Linked DNA regions of Lepisosteus oculatus. The protein of the gene in region 3 purifies or fractionates together with the protein of the main gene of each other region. This does not show direct contact. Links are inferred from orthologs where the notes say so. Each region holds a gene or a part of one and is shown on either strand. Other genes may lie near its edges.

Region 1 (7,740 bases), on a different chromosome or scaffold from region 3:
CTGGAGGTGTTATCATCTGCAAAGCTGCGAGAAATGAACTGAACCCCAGGTATTTTAACATCATTTTGGCGGGTCCTGTACGGGGAATTTAGCGCGTCCATAAACTACACAAATGAGATATACTGAGGAATGTCAAGACCATGTAGAAGCTACTGTTGCCTTAATGATGTGTAAGAATAATGGTGGATGGATGCTGCACACTGGTGGGGGTGGAGGGGATCCCCATTTCCTGTAAAGCCCTTTGAGTGGAGTGTCCAGAAAAGCCCTATATAAGTGTAAGCGACTATTATTAATTTGATGTCCGATAAAAGGAGTCTCCCAAAAAGCTAGCAACCCTCACATGCACATGCAATTAACTGCTACCTACAAAATGGGCTAGATGTCAAATGGCCTCCTCTCCTTTGTAAACTATCCCCCGTTCTTTCAGTAACATGTGCAATGAATAATGTGGTGCACACTGTATAAGAAATGGACCACTAAATTCTGGTGCCCCCAGGCCCTGCATACATGTCTACCAGTTACTGGAACTACACAACAGAGAGCAACAACCTCACTGGTCCGTATATCGGTAGTAAGCTCTAGCAGGCTACGCTGGGGACCCCCGTGGGAAGGAGAGGACGAGGGTGCATCGACAACGAGCCGCACCCCCCCCCGCGCCGGCTCACCTGTTCTTGCGACTGCAGCAACTTTCCGCTGTCCGGGTCAGTCAGAGCCACCAATCTCTGCAGCTCCTCCACTCTGAAACGTACCGGGTGAACCCAGGCACGAGCAAAACATTCAGCTTTTAGAACACTTTAAGGACGTTTCCAGACAGCAAAGACGACCGAGGACGGGGGAACTGTACACCGGAAACAAAAGCACAAAGATCAGACGCCACATCCCGCGGCTCTAAAACCACTCCGAAGTCGTCACACAGATCACATGGCGCGTGCATCTTCTGTATGGGGGGGAAAAACGCCCTTTGTGGTCTGGGAGTGCAATCGGGATCTTTTCCACTCCACTGGCTGGAGAAGCAGGCCGGGGCAGCGAGTGTACACATCTTTCCTGAGACCAGCAGCTGTCTGAGGTTAAAGAGGAGACAGCTGCTGTGCTCAGGAAAGACGACAGGCGACCGATTTCTGCAGAGAGGAGGAGATCGACGGCAGCAGAGCTTCAGAGGGTTTGGAAACAGGACTGGCGCTGCTGCATGAAATTTGATCTCATGCGTGTAATCTTGCAAGATTGATCAACTGCTCAATGTGTACACTTGCATTTTATTTTTTTTTGTGAAGATAATGCTACTGAATCAAGGATTAGAATCAACTTGGAAACTACAGTGTCCTCTGGTGTGTGAGATCTCTGAGGGAAAACTAGAGTACTGCTGTAGGTGGTGTTGGTGGACCAGTAGGCGATGCTCTTGCCTCTGGACCTGAACTTCCCAACCAGTGTTCCTATGTGGCGATCATGGTGCCATCTTTCAAAGGGGCTGTTAACCTCACTAATTACCCCAGGGCTGTGTGAGAGAGGAGGGGTGCTCACACTGCTGTCCTGACTCTGGGCTCTACAGTCTGGACAGTAAACTGACTCCTGACTGCTGGGTCACTAGAGACCCCAGGGCTGTGTGTGAGAGGAGGGGTCCTCACACTGCTGTCCTGACTCTGGGCTCTACAGTCTGGACAGTAAACTGACTCCTGACTGCTGGGTCACTAGAGAGTTTGTGAAAAGCAAGGGTGGTAACATAGTGTCCTGGCTAAATTATACTCTGGTACTATACAACCTCCTTCATGTAAAGCTCCCCTTTAATTGGCAAATGTGAGCAATTTTCCCATTTTCTCTACAGCACAGGGCCCATGTGCAATCAGTTTAGATGTCATGCAGAGCTACGAACTCTGGGAAACGGAACATCCGGGACATGAGGATTTGGGATTTTGCAGGCGCCGGCGGGGAGTTTGAAACCTGGCACCTGTGGAACTGCAAGGCGGCATCTTACTGGAGGTGCAGACTCACAGGTTCTGGGTGCTGGCGAGGATGGTGCTCAGTTCGGACAGGATGCCAGCTTTAAGAGAGCGAGAATCGGCGCCCGTCTCTTCCATGACGTTCCGGTCGTGCGTTCAGCAGCCAGTCAGCCGGGATCTGGGAGAGCGAGGAAGGGGAGAGAGAGAGAGTGGATTGGGGGCCCTAACAAAGTACCTGGCCGTTTGATGACTGAACTATCTGGCGCCCTCTAGTGAGCGTCCGTGTGTCCCATCATAACGCATCGAACATAAAAAACAACAACAAATGAGTCAACAACGACCTGAAAACGCATGAAAGTCAAAAACTCATCGCTTCAGTTTGCGATCTCCGAGATTTTTAAGTCTGACCTAGGGTTACCGTATTCCTAAAATAAAAAAACGAGGACACTCCGTGGATTGGGGGGAGGGGGGGTTGTATGTTTAAGAATCTACCAAATCTGGGATTTATATATTTCAACATTCACGCAAGCCACAGGGGGTGTCGGAGGAGATATCTGCACCAGTAGATATTTATACTGGTACTAGAGACCCTGGTGAAAAGGAAAAGGGGTCAAATTCCTCAGGGCCGAGATTTAAGAAGCAGAGGAGCAGGCCAGGAAAACCCGGACCTTAGTCTTGCGTGTTTCTGCACGGAGAACAAGCTACAAGACGCATTAGGAACTGAAATATCTTCGCCTTGTCTTCACTACTCGTGTTAAACGGGAATCCTTAAAAACAAGGCGCCGGGAAACGATTGCTCTCCGTGTCTGAACACATTTAAAGGCACGACGCTCGGACATTTCGGCTGCTGTATCTGGCCCTGCATCCCTGTCCGTCTTCCGGGAGCTGCAGACATGCGCCCGAACCGTCGGATTCCGCTACAGTCGCCACAACCACGAACGCATGGACTGCCTTTGGGGTCGTAAAACAACCCCGGATCCCAAAAAGATCAGAGTTGTTATTTTCATAACAGAAACTCCCACCACCCCTCCATCTTACCTTTCTTCCCGCGAAGTCAGGTTATTCTCTGCGCTACTGCATGCCGGATAGTGTAGTCTTTCACTGACGTAGACCCTTATTGCCCACAATCGAAAAACTACAACTCCCAGTTTCCAAGAGCAAGCGGAAATCCTGTAGCAGGTGGGGTGGGGGCTGTGTTTGTGGTAAGTAGTTAATGAGCTTCACGCTGCTTAGGTTAATGTAAGTGCAAGTCTGGCGATGGTGGATCTAGTGTTACAATTTACTTGTCCCGTGCATGATATTGTATTTTGTTGTGGTTATATAAAAATGTGTATTTTTATCCCTTTGCCTTTTCCAATTGCTACATGCGGATACAGGAGACCTAACTCTCAGGGGCCTCTAGGGGGCGGAAGGGACACGTTTATAAAAGCAGAACAGCTTGTTCCGATTCTAGATGGAGGTTAAACCTTTGAATAACTATTTTTTTTTAAAAAAAAAAACAAGTCATTGCTGAGAGATTTGTGTTATTATGTGAGTGTCAGGGTGTATTGTGAGCAATCAAGGGGGAAACGCTGAGATAATGTGCCAACGATGGAAAATATAACTTTTTAATAACCCCTCTGCTCCTACTGTATTCAGGATCCCCATCTACTGTCTCCTCTCACTGTGTGTTCTCATTGTGCATATCTTGTTTTTTTATCGTTGTTGTTCTATAAAGTGCCTTAAGAGGCCACCTTTAAAGGTGCAATATAAAATTATATTATAATATAAAATACTGGAGCTCCGCAGGTGTGAGCCTGGCCAGTACCTGGATGGGAGACTCCTGGGAAAGCTGAGGCTGCTGCTGGAAGAGGTGTTAGTGGGGCCAGCAGGGGGCGCTCACCCTGCGGTCTGTGTGGGTCCTAATGCCCCAGTATAGTGACGGGGACACTGTACTGTAAAAAGGAGTGTTCCTTTGGATGAGACATAAAACCGAGGTCCTGACTCTCTGTGGTCATTAAAAATCCCAGGGCATCTCTCTAGAAGAGTAGGGGTGTTACCCTGGCGTCCTGGCCAAATTTCCCCCTGGCCTTTACCAGTCATGGCCTCCTAGTAACCCCCATCTCTGAACTGGCTTCATCACTCTGCTCTCCTCCCCACTGAGAGCTGGTGTGTGTGAGAGGACTGGAGCATCATCCAGGTGGGGCTGCACACTGGTGGGGGTGGAGGGGATCCCCACGACCTGTAAAGAGCTCTGAGTGGAGTGCCCAGAAAAGTGCTATATGTGTCTACTAGTTTTTAAATTTTTGTTCGGCATTTAAAAGTGTCTTCTGAATCTGCAACACCCCGTACAAAGTTTCACATTTGGAGTGGAGCATCATTAATAAAATTGCATAATGAAGAATAATTGATTATAATAAAGCTTTTTCCCCCAAAGCAGCTCGCAGATAGGAGGTCAGGGGAACCATCTCATGCTCTCCAGGCTGACGCAAAGCAGAAGCCACAGCACTCAGCAGCCTGAGGGTCTACCCACAAGACACCAACCTGAGTTGGGACAAATGCTGCGACACTTTTTATAAAAAAGGACAACAAACTCTCTTTTTCCTATGAAAACCAAGCTATTTCAAGGTAGACAGAATGATCCTAACACGTTTTATACTAGACTTTTATTGAAAGTGTACTAACGTAGTCTCACATGCTAATTTGGTAACATCAGTACCATTGATTGTAACAGGCTGGAAAAAGTAGTCAAATTAAGTAGCACATTAACTGGGGCAAATCAGATCACCTTAAATACCCTCTACAGGTAGAGGGTGGCAAAGAAAGCACTGTGTATTGTGGATTGTGTCTCTCAGCCCCTCCACTTTGAGTTCACTCCCTCTGTGTCCCCAGGTGTGATACTAATAGACACAGGAAATCTGTCATCCCCACTGCAATAGACATATACTGTAACTATCTTCTTCCTTATCTTGCTGGAACACTGTTGCACTGACTTCTTTGGAAAAATGTTGTCTGCCGTTGTGTTGTTATGTTGGGAGTGTGCTGTGTGTGTCCGATGGGACAAATAAAGCTTGAATTTAATTAAGACCAGGGCGAGGAGTGAGAAACTGCTTCACTGTCAAATATCCAGGACACCAGGGTTAACATCCCCTCTCTTCCAAAGAGCCCTGGGATCTTCAATGACCCAGCAAAGTTTAACGTCTCGTCTGAAGGACAGCAACTCCTACAGCACCGTGTCCCCAGTCGCCATACTGGCTACTGGTTTGGAGGTTGAGGGCTAGAGGGAAGCGCACACCTACTGGTGTGACCTCAATACCACTGTCTCATCAGAACGAGAGTCAGTCTGAAGTCCCCAGAAAGATGGGTAGCACACCCATGTGTGTGCTTAGCCTGAGCATCTGTGAACGGGAATCAGTGTGCTGGATCATTTGGTTTATTCTTGATAATAGAATAACTAAACCATTGAACCGGTTAAGATGGAGCCAGCTGGTGTTTTCTACCGTTATAGCCTGAGTGATCTTGGGACCTTAATCTAGATTGTTTTCATAGAAAGAATACAGAATACTGCCATTTAACTAGTCTTAGCATAGGAACAGTTTACATACAACTGCAGTCTGAACACTTCTGAAATCTAGTCAGTAAGAACAAACTCACTCTTTGCAAGAGTCCTTACTGTGTTCCACAGTGAGCAGGTCCAGAGTGGTCCTGCACTGCTGGGCGAGGTGTGCTTTAGATTAGCGCAACACTGGGCTGCTATTGACGGAACTGGGGCGATAATTTGACGAGAGGGGAGGCCGGCTCTTTGGGTGGCGTATCAAGCACCGCCTGAGCGCCCTCGCTCTGTAACCTCAGTGCCAGCCCTCGCCCTCAGCTCGGAGACCAGCCGTGGCTCATCTGCGCCCACAAACCCCCAGTCTGCGTGCGCCCCGCACCTCACGGCAGCTACAAGTGGGTTTTCAGTACCGGGGGCCAGGAATAGCGCGTGCAGGAGCCCTGTGCCACGCCCCGGCCTGGTGGCGTTCCCAGAGGGAAATGAGAAGGCAGGGATAAGATAATTGGTACTTGAGCTGGGAACCACTTGAAAACGAAGGGAAGGGCCGAGTGCTGCTAAATTTGTCCTGATGGGAGGTCTGGGATCAAAACTGCAATTCAGAGGAGGAGTGGGAGCAGCTCGGGAGATGCCTTTAAGGAAGGGGGTACACCCCAGCGCCCGTGCGAACTCAACTTTAAGGTATCTCACTGCGCTGGCCCCTGTGCTGGGCGGATCACTGGGGCGCATGGAGTGTGTTCGCGTTGGAGCAGAACTGACAGGAAGCACCGATTCTCAAAATGTGTGTGTGTGTTTGGGGGGGAGGTCGGGAAACCCTGGGGTCCCCTGAAGACCCCCCAGAGGAAGTCCCCGAAAAACCAACATGTTCACCATGATAGAGATAAAGCCAAGTGGGACAGGTGTTCCCCGGCTAAGCTAGAACACACAGACTAGATGAATGCACTGTGTGTGAAGACGTGCCCTAAATATTCCCTTCCCAGTGATGCATTTTGACATTGACCGTGTCCGTGGCTGTGTCTTAATGTAGGGTTCTTCTTAAAATAGTCAAAAACTGGGCTGGCAAGTCCGAAGGTTTATTCTTGAGAAACAATTTCCTCTCTGTGTGTATTGTGGGTACAGATTTGTGAGCGATCACAGTTTTGTTCCTTGAACAGCCCTTTGTACCACATTGCAGTTAAATGAGGACTCGTTCTTTATCCAATCGAAGTTACATAAAATAGCCCCAATTTGTGCAGCTCATCAGATAACATGTCAGTAACTAACAGTGCAATGGTGCAAAAAAAATACTAATAACATGTTGACGTACTGAAGCAGACTCCCTGGTGTGGAGAAGTGGTCAGGGCTGTGTGCGACACTGTGGTTGAGTCCTTTAGCAAAGTATTTCACTGAGGCTGGTCCGGCACACAGCCTACTGCAGAGAGGGGCTCGGCCCTCTGGGGCCCTCCATTGGCCCATCGGGTTCAATAAAGGATTTTAATACAATATGACAAAGGAAGGTCAAGATCATAGGAACCAGCCAAAAATCAAAAATATTAATCATCAATGGTGTCCTTGGTGCCAAATTCCCCCCTGGCCCTTACCAGTCATGGCCTCCTAATAACCCCCCTCTCTGAACTGGCTTCATCACTCTGCTCTCCTCCCCACTGAGAGCTGGTGTGTGTGAGAGGACTGGAGCATCATCCAGGGGGGGCTGCACACTGGTGGGGGTGGAGGGGATCCCCATGGCCTGTAAAGAGCTCTGAGTGGAGTGTCCAGAAAAGTGCTATATAAGTGTTAAGGATTTAATTATTAATTATTATACAAATACAGAAAAATATGGAGAGATGCCTAAGAACTCAAGACAGGTTGCAGATGAGGGGGAGGCCTGTGTGGTTTGTTGGATGAAACAAGAGCACCTTCACTTTTTGATATTTATACTTCCCAATCTAAGACAGATCCAGCGTTGGGAGTAGATTGTGAAAGTGCACTTGTTTTCACTCTTCTGATGCTTGTGTATCACCAGATCAAAATCCTTTGGGTTTCCCAGGGCGATGTAGAATATGCAAGTCAGTAATGTGATCGGGCAGCTTGCTGTGCTGCAGACTGACACGGGTCTGGAGTTTGACTGTTAAAGTGCTCCTGCCATTGAGATTCTTAATTCCAATGGTTTTCCAGGTTCCCTCTGATCAGTAACAGCTCAGGAACCTCACAAAAATGGATAAAAGAGTCCAATTAATGTTGTAACTGGACCAATAACCTCCATACTTCACAGATTAAGAATGGATGGGCAACTCTAGT
Region 2 (7,708 bases), on a different chromosome or scaffold from region 3:
TCCTCAGACAAATCAGTTCAATATCTCCTGTTCATCTTTTTAAACTTCTCATAATGGTAGTCGTCTGTGGCCTTCTCATTGGCTGGTCTCTTGCGATTAGGAGGCGTTTCTGTGGAAGACAAAGGTGCAATTTTTTAGGCTGTTGTTACACAAATGTGTGTTAAACTTGGATATTCCTACTTATTTTGTACTAAATGGCTTTCAAATTTAACAGAAAAATTAACTTCAGGTTTACAGGTGGTAAGTTGTCCACTTCAGCAAAAGAGCATGTGAAGTAAAAATAATAAGATTTGATTTAAAACTGAATTCATTTTAGTACACGGTGATTGTTCTGTCAACTCTTACTTTCTGGTTCAGGTTTCTCAGTGTCCCCCACTCGAAGTGGCCGAGCTTTGGGCTCCTCTCTGTGTCTTTTTGCTGGTGCATTCACATCTTCATGGTAGACTAAAATCAAACAGAAGAACAGGCATTTGACATTACACTACACTACTGGGCAGTGCATAATGTTGATCCTATATCCTTTGGCATACAGATTCTAAAAGGATATAAGTAACTGAGGATAATGTACTGTTACTTCAATAATCTGGCTCAGTCAGTTCAAGCCAAATCGTGTTACATTATTGCACTATCAATACAGGAATCTGGGATCAGTTAGGCTTGACATTGTGGGTCTTTATTAATTACAAAGAGAATGGGGCTTACAGCGATTGTGTTGAACATAGTTCACTGCTATGTTTGTAGGTACAAAGGAAGTGCTGCTGTCCTTCTTCTTGTTGCGTTGCTCCGCTATGAGCTTGGCCTTGGCGTCTTCGGTGCTAATGATGTTCTTTATCTTGGCACTGAGAGACAGTGAAAAGAGACAAGCATCTGCGTTCTTGTTCAAAAACCAAACCTTCAATGTCACTGCACTCTAGGCATTCTGTTCTAAAGTGTCCCAAGAACAGTAAGCCAACAGAGGTAGTACATTTTTGTTTAGAAGTATATCCCATTAATACAGATAGACGTACTTGCTTTGAGATGATAGGGTACTATAACTACAATATAAGCTAAATTATTGAAAAGAGAAATATTTAAATGAGCAAGACAATCACATTACAAATTGCTTGGATAAACAGTAGCTTTACTGTGAGAACACATTTGTTTGCATAAGTAAAAGGAAATTAAAGCCCGTTTTGGAGTACAATAATGTCCTAGAGTGCAATTTATTTTAAACACAACTTTTGTTTGTTCCGTTAACTGATCAATCACTCACTCAATTCCAAGGTCGACTTCCGGAATGCCACTCAGCATCTGGTTGGAAAGCATTTCTTCTGTTTTCTTGGCGGATGAGACTCGGATATTCTCTGGCAACTCATACAGAAGATCCTCTGCGTTCTTCGCCTTCACCTTTTGCTCCTCTGCCTCTACCAGTCCCTTCTTCTTCTTAAGTTCTGTCTCAATGTACTTCATCCTGAAAGCACATTGAAATGTTTAGAAAAGAACAGCATGAGAAAAAAACAGCTGGTCTCAGGACTGCCAGCTGTGCTGTAGCTCAAATTATAATCGACAAACTATAATAAGTACACTGTTCTCTTGAATATAGCTCTATTTGCTGCTGAAAATTCAACAGAGGGCAGATTACTGTATTTTGTCATTTCAGAAAAGTTCATTTGACTCTTTTCACAGTGTGGTCCCGGGGAATTTCTATAAAACATATCCCATACTTTTGATAGCTGATATCTGCATTCTTACTTTCTGTATCTTTTAGGAGGCCTTAGATCACAACAAAAGAAACTGAAAAGATACCTACATGTCAGCATCTTCATCACGACGATTTGTCTCTGCTGAGAATGACGTTCCCAGATTCAAATCGGTCTCGTCTTCCGTCCTAGGAGAAGAAAGAGTATTTATATTTTTAAAATTTATATCACTGCAGTTTAATTATGGTTTAACAGGTATTCAGGTTAATGATGTATACACCCAGATATATACAGATCCCCACATAATTTTACACTGCTGCATTAAAAAAAATAAAACACTCACATGTCTCTGTTCCTGTCTTTGATTTTCTTCATATCCACAACTCCCCCTGTCTTCAATTTAAAGGGATCATCCTAAAAAGATTAAAATACAGTACACACAGTAAGCATGCATGTACACATATTTTATATACATGTACATGTTTTGTTGTAGTACTACATACAACAGTTTTCCAGAAGGACAGACAAAAATAACCAAATGCAGAGCATCATTCAACAACTGAAAAACTGGATGTAAACTGATTGCAAGGTTAAACCTTTCAGAGACAAAATATACTGATTATTCAAAAGCACATTTGATGCAAGCTATTTCACTGTTCTACTATCATTATTACTTGTGGGGCTTCTTTTGGAAATGAAATAAGACTTTGGCAGATAAAACCTAAACATACAGCTTACGTACCTCGATCTCCGATTCAGGTGGCAATTTTTCACCAACCAGTAAGGCTGTAATGCTAAGGAAAACAGAAACGCAGTTAAATATCAATAATATACGCCAAAGAACTGGGAAAGCTTATTGATATTTCTGTGGACAAACCGAGGCTTAAGGAAAACTAGCTAGGACTAAAAAACAGAAATGTATCTTTTGAATACAGTGCATTGTTTTCAGTACCATTCCCAGAATATTTACCTCACGCCACTCTGTCTTTTTCTAAGACTCTGAATTTCCTTTGCTTCATCAAGTTTAGATCTGTAAGGGAAAAGAACCGACAGGTACCACATCAGTGTGTACCCTAAAAGAAACACCTTTCACCCTAAGGCGTTCCAACAGATTCAGCTGTTTCTGACTGTTTTAAAGCTAAACGCTTCTGATCAAATATTTACCTGACTTCTGTTGTTGTCTCCTCGTCCTCCTCGTCGTCAGAATCATCTCTCTTCCTTCTAAAGTTTTTATTGGAAGGCATATTCGTCTTCTGTTTTGTTAAAAAAAATCAACAAAAAATACGTGCGTACATGTGTTCCCTGTTTTCACGATTCTGCGACCCACAATTCCAGCGACTTCCAAGAGGATGTTACGTCACTATGTTTTGAAGCCGAAGTAATGACGGTGTGCCCTCTGAAGGGCAGGAAAAACAGAAAAATTAAACGAGTCGTCTTCGTTTCCCTAAATACATTTATTTTGCTTTGGAGCAAAAGTCTTTCAATCTAAAATCATATGGGTTTAAACTGAGTTTCTTTTTCTCAGCAAAGTATATCAACATTAAATACATTTGAAAGTACAGCATTAAAATTAATCAAAAAGCTTACTAAAATTGAGCTAATATCGTGTTTTATTGTAATGTTTTTTTATTGTAATGTTGAAACAATATAGATGCCACAACCTTCTTATTATTCTTAGTCAATAAATGTTTTTAATTGAGAGAAATGCCAACATAAACCGAAGCAGTGCTCTAGACCAGAGAACAGGTACAGTATGATAAAAATCCCTGCATGGGTATCTCTCACATAGAAGGGTTGGTTTGAGAAAAATAAACCTTTTGCAAATTTAGTTTAGGTTACGGAAGTGTTTTGGAAAGCTAATAAAATCTAATTCAAGACACAACGTCACTCTCATTCAAATTATTGTACGACTTATTTAGAGCACTACCAGAATTGTATAGAATAACTGACCCAACTGTGGTCTCTTGCAAACAAACAAAGCATGCTGCAATTACCAAAAGAGTTTTATGAACGTCTCGAGTGAAAACATGTTTGCACTACGGATATTCTTGATCAGCAAAGAAACCAGAAAATATCCACAGTCCTCGGCAATAGTCAACATCACTGTCACGCAGCGCAAACAAATCTGACGCTGAGGCACGCTGTAGCGATTCAGAGAGCAGTGTAGCATCTCGGCTCCTTAGGTTTCTTTATTCATCTTTTTTTTCCAAATGTTTTAATGTTTCCGAAGCTCGTTTTCACACTGCTGGCTGCAGGTAAATATACATTTCTTAGGTGCTGAACTGTCAAGTATGTCAGTGTCTTTTAATTTGCTGTATATGCGTTTTTCCAAAGCGTTTGGTCTGGTGTAGGAAAGGCCTGTAAATTATAGTGTAATGAGAGCCTATAGCAGGAAGCTGAGTGTTGTCGGAGCTATGTGTGGCTTTTAGACCTGCTCACTGACTAATGTGCAATACGCACAACGCTTTTGTTTTTGTTTTTGTTTTTATCTCGCGTGTAAAGTGCATTTCCTTCATGCATGGAAAATGTACAGTCATCGTGTCAGAATTGAAAATGCTCAAGTGCATAATATGGCGATAAACATACTGTTCTGAAGGCAACATTTTTTATGATTTAAACATATTTAGTGAGACGTAGAGAGTAGCCCTTTTTCTAAGGAATCCTTTATGTTTAATATTTAACATTTGTATGTGTTTTTTTTAAAGAATTGTCATTGGTACAGTAGGAAATCATCACAGTCGTGAAAAGGACTCTTGGATCAATGCTTTCGTGACATATAATGGCAAGTCGTTCACTTGACGGATTAACATGTAACCGTTCAATTCTTTGATGTGTGGGTTCTGAGCATTGTTATGTGTTGGTAGTCTTATGAGATTTGCGTAAAATCCTCGGCATTTTTTCACACTCGGCTTCCATTATGACTGCCTAAGGATGACTAAGGCTTTATTTTTGCAAAGAAATATAACCGCATTTAACACGGCCAATATTCTTAACTTCTATTTCTGTGTAATTTGACGTGGAATTTACAGTATCACAATGTCCAAAAGGTATTGCCAGTTAAATACATGTGTGGAGATGCCTTTAGCTACTTAAAAATAATGAGTGATGATGATGACTTAATGGACTGAGGGCTTGTCGAATCATTTTATATCATTAGTAAGACTGAAAGGGTGTTATTGATATTACTAGTGTTTGAAATCTAGAAGGGAAGAAGTCCTCGTTTATTTCATTGTGCTAAATATATTAACGATACTGACGAACTGGTGTAATACAGTAATCATTCATGTTATGCTCATCCCTTAAAGTGTCAATAACTTAGAAACCTGTTATTATGATGTCGTCTTCATGGGATCGGTAAACATTCTTTGTAAACTTTGGTAATGATTAATCAGTAGTAACAGACACAAGATTTGTTTACAGTCTCCGATCTGTCACCATCAAAATTAAATAAAATTTCATGTGACAGCTGTCTGATAAAAATCCCTCTAGGGCTGTTCTTACTTGGTTCTGGGCTGTTTGGACTGTCTGAGCTGACGTTTTAGCGATATTTAAGTTGGTCTAATTGTTTGTGAAGGATGAACTAACTAAGGCCTTTTCTGACTGAAACGAGGAATCAAAATTAAATTCCCTTGTCACTTGTACGTTTTTGAAAATGTACTGTATTGTTTAATATGCTTTCACAAGTAGATTAGAATACAGATTATGCGTTACTTAGCATTTGGCAATAACACAGTAGTAATAATACTGTAATCACTGATTTAATTATTTTTATTGTGTTTCCATAATGTGCATTTGTATTTTATCTAAAAATAGGTACACGTCAGAGGAGATGACGGAAAACGGAGATCTTTGCCCTCATTTAGATTCTATAGGTGAGGTTACCAAGGAGGAATTACTGCAGAAATCCAAGGTGAGAACACATATCTGTTGTCACTAATCTGGTTGCTTTTAAAAAGTGTTTGCCAAGTCCTTGAGTTATTAAAAATGTCTTGTTGAAACCTTGAGTTTTGCTGGTGAGGTTTCAGTAATAAGAATTATTTGAGCAGTGTAGCTGACAAGACACATGCAGTAATATCTTGGAGTGAGCTTCCTTCTGTAAAATAACAGTGCAAATCATTGAAAAATCAGCATTTTTAGTAAATGTGGCTTCATAAAGATGGATCATTGCATCAATGCGGTTAAAAAAATAAAGCTACTGTGAGAATAGAGTACAAAGACAGTGTTGTATTACACCATTCACAATTGTTTGATTCAGACTGCAGTGTGCAATGCAAATCAAGGCCTAAGGTGGTCTTTACAGGATAAGCAAACATGGAAAATCACATTCTGGAGCTGCACAGTCAACTCAGAAATCTGAAGACATTTCAGCCCAGGTTAGCCAGGAGGAGTTTTTTTTAGCCAAAATCATTTGACAAACAACTAGCCACAATTATTACGGTTTCCTGTAGTTTTGTTCAAGTGAACTTATTTTTTTTTCCTTTGACTTTGCTGTTACAAATGCAAATATTGGTATAAACAAAGAGGACTTTGATGAATGCTTTTACATCTTCAGATTAGCTAATTGTTGAATTGAAGGATGCCAATAGTCTCTGCGATTCTGGTTGATTTAAACATATATTCTTATGTGCATTTAAAATATCAGACTTTTTTCGACTCTGAAATGCTTGAAGCATTGCAGGTATTGCTGTTATGTGAACTTCAGTAATGCCATTTTTCTTACAGGTTCACTAGTTGATGACATGCCAGAAAGTCCAATTGAATATTTTTGTTTTTATGTTGTGGGGGATTTAGGGAACATGCCAGTCTTGTGGCGCAGGGGGACCTAATCTCTGGGCATGTCTACAGGTAAAAGAGTTGTTTATTTGTGCATTGTCATCTAAGAAACACAGAGAATAGCACAGAGCGTCTTTCAGCACCTATGGAGATCTTTCCTATCTCAGTTCTTCCAATCAGTACAGGTCTGAATCTTTGTAAAGCACAAAGCGTTGTCATGCTCCGACCTCTATGAACATTTGAGATTTTATATGCTTGTATTTGCTAATATGTCTTATCATATATACTGTAGCACAGGAAATGAGCAGTAATATTATTTCCGTATCAACCTACATAAATAATCCTTGGCTAGAATCTGTTAATTGGCAATAACGTGGCACTGATTTATTTTCATTTCTAAGAGGTTTGAGTGGGAAGCTGTCTCAGTGTGCACTGACTGCAAAGGAAGCAGTAAAGGTTAATTCCATACCTAAATCGTCAGGAAGAAAACAATGTTTCAGTTTAAGGCGACACTCACTGGAAGGAAGATCAACGGCTGAAACGTTTAGCTTTTTAGTCTTTTCTACTTTTGAACGTGAAATGAACCTTTAATTCTTCCTGCATTTTAGTTTTAGATATAGATGATTCCTTTTTTTGTTGCATTAGATGATCTTATGATTTTAAGGTAGAATCTTAAACATGATAAACAAAAAAACTAAACCCAGGCATGGAGAATTCAGTAAGGTGCTGTTGATGGCTAGTAAATGTACTTCATGCTCTTTTCTCCTGTGTTTTGGCTGCGGTGCAGAAGGATTGTCCATATGTGGGTTGTGGGGAGTCTTATGCAGATCACAGCACCTTACATGCACAGGTAAGATAGTGGCATTTTAAAGTTCATTTGGCTGAAAAAGCAGAAAGTTGTTTTTTTTTGTCACAGGCTCACACTGTACATCTGCACGTTTATACATTATTTAATTAATAGATTGACCAGGTAGTTTGTTTGTTTCATGGTAAGTAAGCTTATCTGATATTCTCCACTAGATTTGCTTTGCATTATTTAAGGCTTGCTCAAGTCCAGAAAGACAGATGAGGCTGGAAAATGAGATCAGAAGGTCAGGGGACATGAAGAGTCTCACACAATCTAAAATGGATTCATGTATGGACATGTGGGGATATTTAAGAGAGGCTTTTTGTTCATTTATGCTGCTGACATCTTCTTTCAGGCTAAAACGCACAACCTGACGGTGAACCTAACCACATTCCGGATCTGGTGCTAT
Region 3 (8,241 bases):
TGATCTGTATTTTCTAGAGACCATGTCAACGTTAAGTCTTCAGACTTTCATTCAATTTTTAATTTCATTCACACCCCAAATACCACAGTAGTTGCAGAAACTTCAAAATCATGAGAAGTCTTTACGTTTTGTAGTCACATATGTGAAACAAAACAGAGCACCGAACAGCTTCCAAAATCCAATCAGGAAATGAAAAACCTGTCTCCTTGTCAAGAAGTGATACAGATGGTTATCTTCAGAGATCTGCTCAGAGTGCTGTCCATCTGTGTGCCACAGAGCAAAATGTTATTAAAAAAACATCTACAAAATTCCCAACAAGCCCACACTTTTCTTTTTGGAAACCAGACTTCTCTATTCCACTACAGGTCTCTGTTACAAGCACAGTTGATCAATCCCAAAAAAAATCCAGTGCCGTCAGGAATCCATAACTCACCGATATGCCCAACATCCTGGCTCGACTCTCTTGTTGGGCTGTCCCAGACGGTAGCCTTATTCTGGAGCCACTCCTTCTGGCAGCTCTACAACCACAGGGGCACATTCCTCGGGGTCTATCTCAAAATCCCACCGGAACTTCTTGGTCAGGTAGACTTTGAACTTTTCAGCCCGTTTCCGAAGACCACTGTCCACACCAGGCCCACTCGTGAACAAAAAGAACTCCTGGGCAAGAGTAAAATCAGAGATCAGTGCAGAACATGCAGATGGGCCACATGACCACCTCTCGTTTATTACCACCCTCGTATTCTCCTGGCTGGTGTTATAACCACCCTCGTATTCTCCTGGCTGGTGTACGGCAAAAAACAAAAGAAGAACATGATTTTGTTTTAAATGAAAAACGTCTGACTAAGCTTCTTTCTGTACTCTTCCCTAGCTACTCTTTTATGTATAACTCTCAGATACTGTGAGTCCCCAGATAAACTGGTAGATCAAACACGATCTCAATTTTCAACAGAAAAAAAAAACTCGGAAGAGAAGACAACTTACCATGGTAAAACTTGGGGTGACAAACAGCTTAGATAATGAAAATCTATAAGAGCCCCGATTATGGCCTAAATGAAGCGCTAGATCACGCAGGACTTTAACCCTTCTTTTACTATTCATATTCTGGATTTGGAGTCTTCCTACGCTGCACAGCACTGAGGCAGCAAGACCAGCTTTGTGAAGAGAACCAAACAACCTACCTGCAAGGTGGAAGTGAGAAAGTTGTCTTTGGATACGATGTCTACAAAGAAATCGGGGGGAATCTCTCCCAGCTGGTGGTAGAGAACAGGGATGAGGTGGAGGTACAGGTTCCGGTGGTTGAGTATAGCCTCTTCAGAGCGGCATAGCAGGTTCAGAAGACATTTCCAGTGCTCAAAGCTCTCATACACATTCCCAATCAGGAAACACACAAATGCAAACTGCAACTCCCCTGGACAGCAAAACAGAAAAAAAAAAAAAAGAGAGAAGGAGGAGAGGAAAGGTCATTTACTTACAAACTGCATCAAAAGCAAAAGCTTATTGGAATCCTGAAAACTGAAGTTTGTTAGAATTACACTGAAATGAATGGCATTCAACTACACAGGCTAGTAGTCATCTCCTGATTTACTGTATGTGTTCAGAAAATAAAAAAGGCTGGCATTTTATAGCATCAATCAATGCAAGGAACTGTAAAGGCTTTGAATTGTGTCAGAGTGTGTTTTTTCAGTCCAGAACTCACCCAGCACTTGCAGTGGCTCGTCTTTGTAGTAGCGTTCTAGTAAGCTGTTGAGGGCATAACTGAGGTCCATACTGTACTGGGTGATTTGGGCAGGTGTGGCCCCCTCAGGGTAGGTCTGTTTGGGGATCTCTGAGAAGCGCAGCTCTGTGCCGGCTCTCAGCTTCATCTTAGGCAGCCTGTCCAAACCCTCCTGCATGCTCTGGCACTGGATGTCGTACCGTGGGAGGTTCTGCTGGACCCGATCTTCCGTGTGAGGCAACGACAGTTCCGGTACCACATCGCTGAAGGCACAGATCTTGCCATTCAGGGGCTGCAGGCGTTGTGCAACCTCCTGGGTGACGCGGTCCGTCAGGGAGACCCACTTCCGAAGCATGTCGTAGGGGTACGGTCCCAGAAAGCGGTCCAGATCGCGCAGCCCAGCCCGCACCCGGGCCACTTCCTCCTCGTTCTGGGAGGCGGAGAAGTCCAGGTCCTCTTGCTGGCTGTCCCAGTGAGCCAGCAGGACGTCTCGGGCTTTGAGAGAGAGGAAGACCCCAGTCCGAGGCCCAGTCTCCCCTCCTTGCTCCGGCTTGTTGGAAGCGCTGTAGTGCAGGAAGTGCAGGCCCGGTGGGATCATCTTGACCCCTCGGAACCTGGGACCCACCTGCCAGGTCTTGTAATCGATCCCCAGCTCCGACCCCTCGGGCACCCCCAACAAAACCAGTGTGGCCCCCTCCTCAAACAGACTGCAGGCCAGTTCAGGATCCATGTCCATGCTGGCCATATCTACTAGAAAGAGCACAAAACTGACAATTAAACACTTACATGGACCACAGCAAGACATCAAATAAAATAACCTAGGAGCTAAGGTTTTAATAAAGCAAAACATTGTGACATTTCTGAAACAAAAGGACCTAGGTATGGCTCCTCCATAATACTCGACAAGGCTTCTGCAACTACAATTCGCACCTAAAATAGTCAACTTATCTACAATGGAAAAAAAAACGACAATTCACTTTTAAATTAAGTCGTTCTTGTGGCTCCAGACAGCGTGAGAATGAAATGTCAAGATCAGTTTACCCGGTATTTTACATTAAAAAGTGCTAAGAATGATCTATACTATCAGTCACAATCACTAACCCCAACTTAGAAAAACAAAGATGTTTTCCCATAGTCGTATAATTCCTTTAGCACAAAGATGCAAGTATAAAATTACGAAAAAAAAACTGTGTTGAAACGTTTCGTTTTAAAAAAATCTTTCTAATTAACTGCGACTTCAACAATACGATTTCTTGGCACTGTACCGTAATTTTCTAGCCAGCAAAACGTTACCTTTGAGGGCCTAATATATATTTAGTCAATATATAATGAAGTCACCTGAACGATCACGGAGCGTAGCTCTGTAGCATAGCAGACAAAACTCCACGTTCCTGAACGTAAACGCGTAGCAACGTATTGTGTACCAGAGAGCTCACTTCCGGTCCTTTTTTGTTAAGGAACCAAAAACCAATTAGAAAAAAGGTTCCGATTATACAATATAAACATTTTAAGAATCTCCATAGAAAATTAATCCTTAATAGGTATTGGCCTCATTATGGAGCAGGTATGGCACCATTGGAAAAACTTCCCTATAGAAATCTGTAAAAAAAAAACATAATAAAGTAAAATTACGATATTTAAACAATCTGATATAAAAACAATATGTATTTTAGTCTTTAAAATAATAGTAATATTATTCTCGGGGGGAAAATACTAACACAAAAGAACTTAGGGCAATAGTAGATGCCTCAATGCAGGGATAAAAAAAACATTCCACAGCTCTTGAGGAGTTATTTGTTAAATTGGACCAATTTACAAACTTCTCCCTGCTCTTCAAATTCCGGCTCTCTAATTAGACATATAAAACCTATGTTCAGACTGGCCAACCAGGACTAGGTTTAGTCCACTGTGCTATAATTCAAAATGACTACACACCTATAGGGCCAAGCTGAATTCAATTGTTGTTCTAATCTTTATTTTAGCATGTAATATTAACTACCTTGAAATAATATTCAGTGAATTGAGGTGTTTTTAATCTAAATCCACAGTGTATTACAAGACATGAAATAAAATCACAAAGCTAATCAAATAAAGTAGGATTAAAATACTTCATATACAGTAAATGTAATAACAATAATTCATAGGAAGAAAAGACATGGTTTATTTAAACCGATCTATAAACTGCAGTCTTGTGCACGTCATGAAACAGATGAAAGATGGCCATCATTGAAGTTTTGAACACAGAAACATCCAAATATACAACAACATGCATTTTCTGTTTTCTTTTATTGACCTCACTCTATTTGCACCTTAGTCACAAACTATCTTATAAAGGTTATACAATCTTTTACAATATCCATTTAAATCAAGCTTCTAACTCTCAAGCATATGATAGCATTGCATTTCAATAAAAGCACCAAATGGAGAGCTCGAATCTTTTCCCTTCATTGACCTCAAAGTACTGAAGAAAGAGCTGCACGCGTGACGTCACCATGGGAACGGCACCATCTTGGATACCAACTGAACGTCAACACCTTGAAGGTCATTCTGTTAATCAGCTAACTTGACTCATAACAACCCTATAGTCATATAAACATTTTCTTCAGCTAATATATTTTTGGATGGATCTTGGAGACAAAATCAATACCCACAATAGAACATACAGGCAATATAGTATGTAAATACAGTACAAAGGACCAGCTATACAGGCAATATAGTATGTAAATACAGTACATGTTAACAATATAACTTTACGTTAGCCATACAGATTAAACAGCATTTTTAAATGTCTACAATAATAAATGCATTATAGCTTAAAAAGATCTTCTTAGACCATATTAATAACAAGATATGCTATTTTATAGCATCATTTATGACACCATGCTGATATTGTAAGACAGGCACATCTCAGAATTAATTAGAATATTGTGATGGTGAACAACATCAACTAAAAACAAAGAATCTATCTCTTGGAAAACATATAATTACAAACATAAATAAAAAAATAATATTCTTGTTCTTATAACTAGCATAGGTTTAGGTTAAGGGGATACATGTTAATAAATAGTACAACCTACTAAACAAAAAAATAAAACAGAAGTTGAAAAGTCTTTTATATTTTAATTTTTAAATGATTAAATGAAAAATGATGCATTTAATACATCTAACTCTCAAAGTCCCAGTATCTATACAGCATACTGTATGTGAGTATGGTACATTTCTATGAATATGTAAGTGTCTTTCCAAATATTTCTTCTTAAAGTATTTATAAAAGCTCTCACATTAGGTGTGGCAAAAGCTTATATTTTGTACAGTTTTTGACTGTAACTGCTAAAATCTTTATTGATTATTTACAAATCCCTTAACAGTTCTTTCCTTTAGTGTGTATTCCTCCTAGTTTATGTCTTTCTTTTTGGTTTTGGAGAATACATGATTTGTAACTTCTTCCAACACAATATTAAGGCCTCGATAATCTTCTTTTTCTTTTTTTTCCTTCTTTTCCCTCCTAAACCTTTACTATTTGTGCATACTGGGTCACCTTCTGATCTTCTTATCTGAAAAACAAAATACCAAAGCATATATTCCTTGTTAACCTCTTGGAGAAAAAAATCATTTCTTTTGAAGCATCACCAGGTGAGAATTTGTGTTGTGTACATGCGCTATTCAAAACTGTGGAAGCACAGCGAACAATGATGTTGGGGAAAAGGAGAATATTGTTCTCTCTTTTTCACTACAGTCCCTAGATTCACTTCTATCTTCACATCCCTGAGCAGAAATTCATTATCACAGACTTTTGTTCCTTCTGAAATCACCAGCAGTTTCAGAACCTACTGTACATGAGGATTAAAATCTCCAAATTGATTCCTTAATCAATAAGAATAAGCCTTAAGTGAGTTACTTAAATTCTTTTCCTGAAGTCTGTTGATGATTAAAATAAACTTATAAGTCTGTTGATGATTATAATAAACTCATAATATCTGCTGGACTTAAGCCCTCTTCTAAAGTGTTATATCACAGTAACTTACCAGGTCAGCATAATTGCAGTTTTGTTTAATAACCATTTCCATTCTTTTCACAGGGTTACCTAGGTTATTTGATCCTTTACCTTTGACTTGACATTTAAAAAACTGTGTCATATTGTAGATAGACTGCAGGATATGGTGTACCTAAAATAATCAAAATAAAATTTCAGGGTTTGAAACAAAGCACTGGCAGAGCAATTAGTTGAATTCAGATATTAAGCTAGAAGGCTATTTAGCAGATAATTCAGACTTTGCATCCTATTCCAAGACATGCTTCCTCGTAAGTGTCCAAAAGCATAATGAAAAAAAAACTTCCCTTTTAATTAACTTCATGTTTCTCTAAACCTATAGAGTATCATATTTACAAAAGATTTACAGCCCAATCATCAATCTTCAAATGAAAAGTACTCAGTTCCAGCACAAATTATACTCTGCTGTATCATCATGCACTGTTGCCTAGCCATGAAAAAACTGATTATGGGGTGGCAGTATACAACTTACTGCTTGAAAATCGTGAAATTGTTCTCCACGTTTTCTCTTATAATTTCTCCTCTGACTATCAGAAATCCCCATGCTTAGCTCAATGAGTAACTTGATGGACTAGTTTTTTTTGAGAACTCCTAGTGGTTTGACTGACATAAGACCAACACCTTTCACAATTCCCTTGACCCCAATGGCACTGAAACACGAAAAAAATAAATCTGCCGTGTGCTGTCCTTGGTGCTGAATACCTCTCTTGTAAGGGAGAATGGTATTGAACTGTTTTCTTTCTGACCTGCCTCCTGATCTGAATAAAGGTTTTTGTTACAGAATCAATGCATTTTATGTGACAATATGCTTAGAAATTAAAACTTACTGACTTTTCCTGACAATTGTTCAACAACGGGCTTACTGTGGCTTCATAGAACATTGTTCTACTTGTCATGGTGCATGCAAAACAGGACTAGGATGTGACATCTTGGAAAAGGAATTAAAAACTGAGTTATATTGCTCAGAATACTGTCTTCTATTGTTCTTATACTCTACGGATAGAAACCGGTGCCCTACAGAAATAATTATGTTCACTCATGTATTTTAAGATAGTGTATACAGCCTCCCTTGGGAATTCTGAGATTTATTTTTTTCTGTATTCTTTGTTTTCCTCCTGTTCTAAAAAATATACGAGAATATTACATACTGTAACTATAACGATATGCATTAATTAACTTTAATAGAGTACTAGGTACTGCAAATACACAATAGACCAGTCTAGATTCTGTTGTTTACATTTTAATTAAATAGATTTGTTAATTGTTTTTCTAAGATAACAATACAGTTAGCGTAAGTCATGTAACTTCCTACAGTTGTCAGTCTAATAGAATTTGGAATTTAATTTGAGTTACGATTGATAGCAGTAGTGTATTATGAATCTTTACAAATCTCCATTCACAAATTATACTCTTGATTTTAAGTCATGCAAGAAAGGCAAAACATACAACTGAGCTTTGTCCGAGTAATCACTATCATCCATGCTCTCAGCATGAACGAAGGTGATTTAGATTTTGTCTAGTGTATATATACATTTAAAGATCCTTGGAGTTTTACATACTATACCAGAATACCAGACACATACAGTATACATGTATACTGTACAGGACATACACACATCAGGTAAAGTACACACAAGTTACATTAGTGGAACTAAAATGGCTAAACTCTAAATCATACCTTTCCAGAGGGGCAATGGTCTCTTAAATTTTTATTTTCACTTGATGTGTCATAAGGACCTGTGAGGTTCTAAAAAAGAAGAATATTGATCAGTCCACAACAGCAATTAATTTAGGTTGAATCGCTACAAGATCTCCCAAACCACAAGAGGGCAGTAACTCACTGACTCTGACAATGTTTCGCATTGAGAAAGGCTGTTGCCTTTTAGTATTTTAAAATAACTCCCGTAAAAGTCAGGCAAATAACATCATGAATGCACAGACAACATACCCACATACAGTATAAATCCAACACACACTCAAACATATATAAAGATGAAGTTAAATAGTATCATCACCCGAAGAGGGACTTCTGTCCACAATGACGTGTACCTACAGTATATTCTGTAAAATTATTTTAACCATTAAACCTTGTAGTTGGACACTACACGAAAGCTTTTTTGATTTATTGAGCTCCTCATTTTGCAATAGTTCCTGTTTCATTACAAACACATACATAACAAGTACATACCAGGCTTTGGAGTTCTGTGAGGATTAGTTCTTTGTAAGCGATGAGGATCTCTTGATAGTTGCACCTCTGTCTACTGTTTGAGATGTCCGAAAACAATACCGTTACCACTAAAATACAAATCAGAGTCCTGGAGACACACTAAAAAAGAGAAATAAGATTAACAAACTCAACTGTCTCTTCTCTTATTACTATTGAAACTTCTTACAGCCGTAAAGAAGCGTTTTGTCCGAGCTTGTGAACGTCTGGCTTAATGAACAGCTGTCTTCGACAGTGTGTTTGGAAATATTC

What was found. The genes of interacting proteins can lie anywhere in the genome.
Region 1: the proteins of aar2 (region 3) and tssc4 purify together in Homo sapiens (affinity purification with mass spectrometry; 3 studies listed by BioGRID and IntAct, counting the BioPlex papers as one, with this or other methods). This does not show direct contact. The link is inferred for Lepisosteus oculatus from reciprocal best matches to the Homo sapiens genes AAR2 and TSSC4.
Region 2: the proteins of aar2 (region 3) and c24h9orf78 purify together in Homo sapiens (affinity purification with mass spectrometry; 3 studies listed by BioGRID and IntAct, with this or other methods). This does not show direct contact. The link is inferred for Lepisosteus oculatus from reciprocal best matches to the Homo sapiens genes AAR2 and C9orf78.

Annotation. Positions count from the first base shown.
Region 1 is NC_090716.1:2,144,711-2,152,450, forward strand, and holds the start of tssc4 (U5 small nuclear ribonucleoprotein TSSC4), read right to left. Parts: upstream 3,045-7,740; 5' UTR 2,973-3,044; intron 2,113-2,972; 5' UTR 1,943-2,112; intron 839-1,942; exon of another isoform or gene 739-838; 5' UTR 666-738; intron 1-665. UniProt on the Homo sapiens protein: Protein associated with the U5 snRNP, during its maturation and its post-splicing recycling and which is required for spliceosomal tri-snRNP complex assembly in the nucleus.
Region 2 is NC_090719.1:7,922,686-7,930,393, forward strand, and holds the start of c24h9orf78 (splicing factor C9orf78 homolog), read right to left. Parts: upstream 3,045-7,708; 5' UTR 2,924-3,044; coding exon 2,844-2,923; intron 2,710-2,843; coding exon 2,650-2,709; intron 2,474-2,649; coding exon 2,422-2,473; intron 2,094-2,421; coding exon 2,023-2,093; intron 1,868-2,022; coding exon 1,790-1,867; intron 1,451-1,789; coding exon 1,253-1,450; intron 840-1,252; coding exon 703-839; intron 445-702; coding exon 346-444; intron 110-345; coding exon 18-109; 3' UTR 1-17. Other genes in the region: usp20 (ubiquitin carboxyl-terminal hydrolase 20), read left to right, coding at 5,509-5,589, 6,471-6,524, 7,240-7,302, 7,655-7,708. UniProt on the Homo sapiens protein: Plays a role in pre-mRNA splicing by promoting usage of the upstream 3'-splice site at alternative NAGNAG splice sites; these are sites featuring alternative acceptor motifs separated by only a few nucleotides. May also modulate exon inclusion events.
Region 3 is NC_090711.1:6,136,642-6,144,882, reverse strand, and holds the start of aar2 (protein AAR2 homolog), read right to left. Parts: upstream 3,145-8,241; 5' UTR 3,053-3,144; exon of another isoform or gene 3,008-3,052; intron 2,465-3,007; exon of another isoform or gene 2,462-2,464; 5' UTR 2,460-2,461; coding exon 1,697-2,459; intron 1,409-1,696; coding exon 1,179-1,408; intron 658-1,178; coding exon 490-657; 3' UTR 1-489. UniProt on the Homo sapiens protein: Component of the U5 snRNP complex that is required for spliceosome assembly and for pre-mRNA splicing.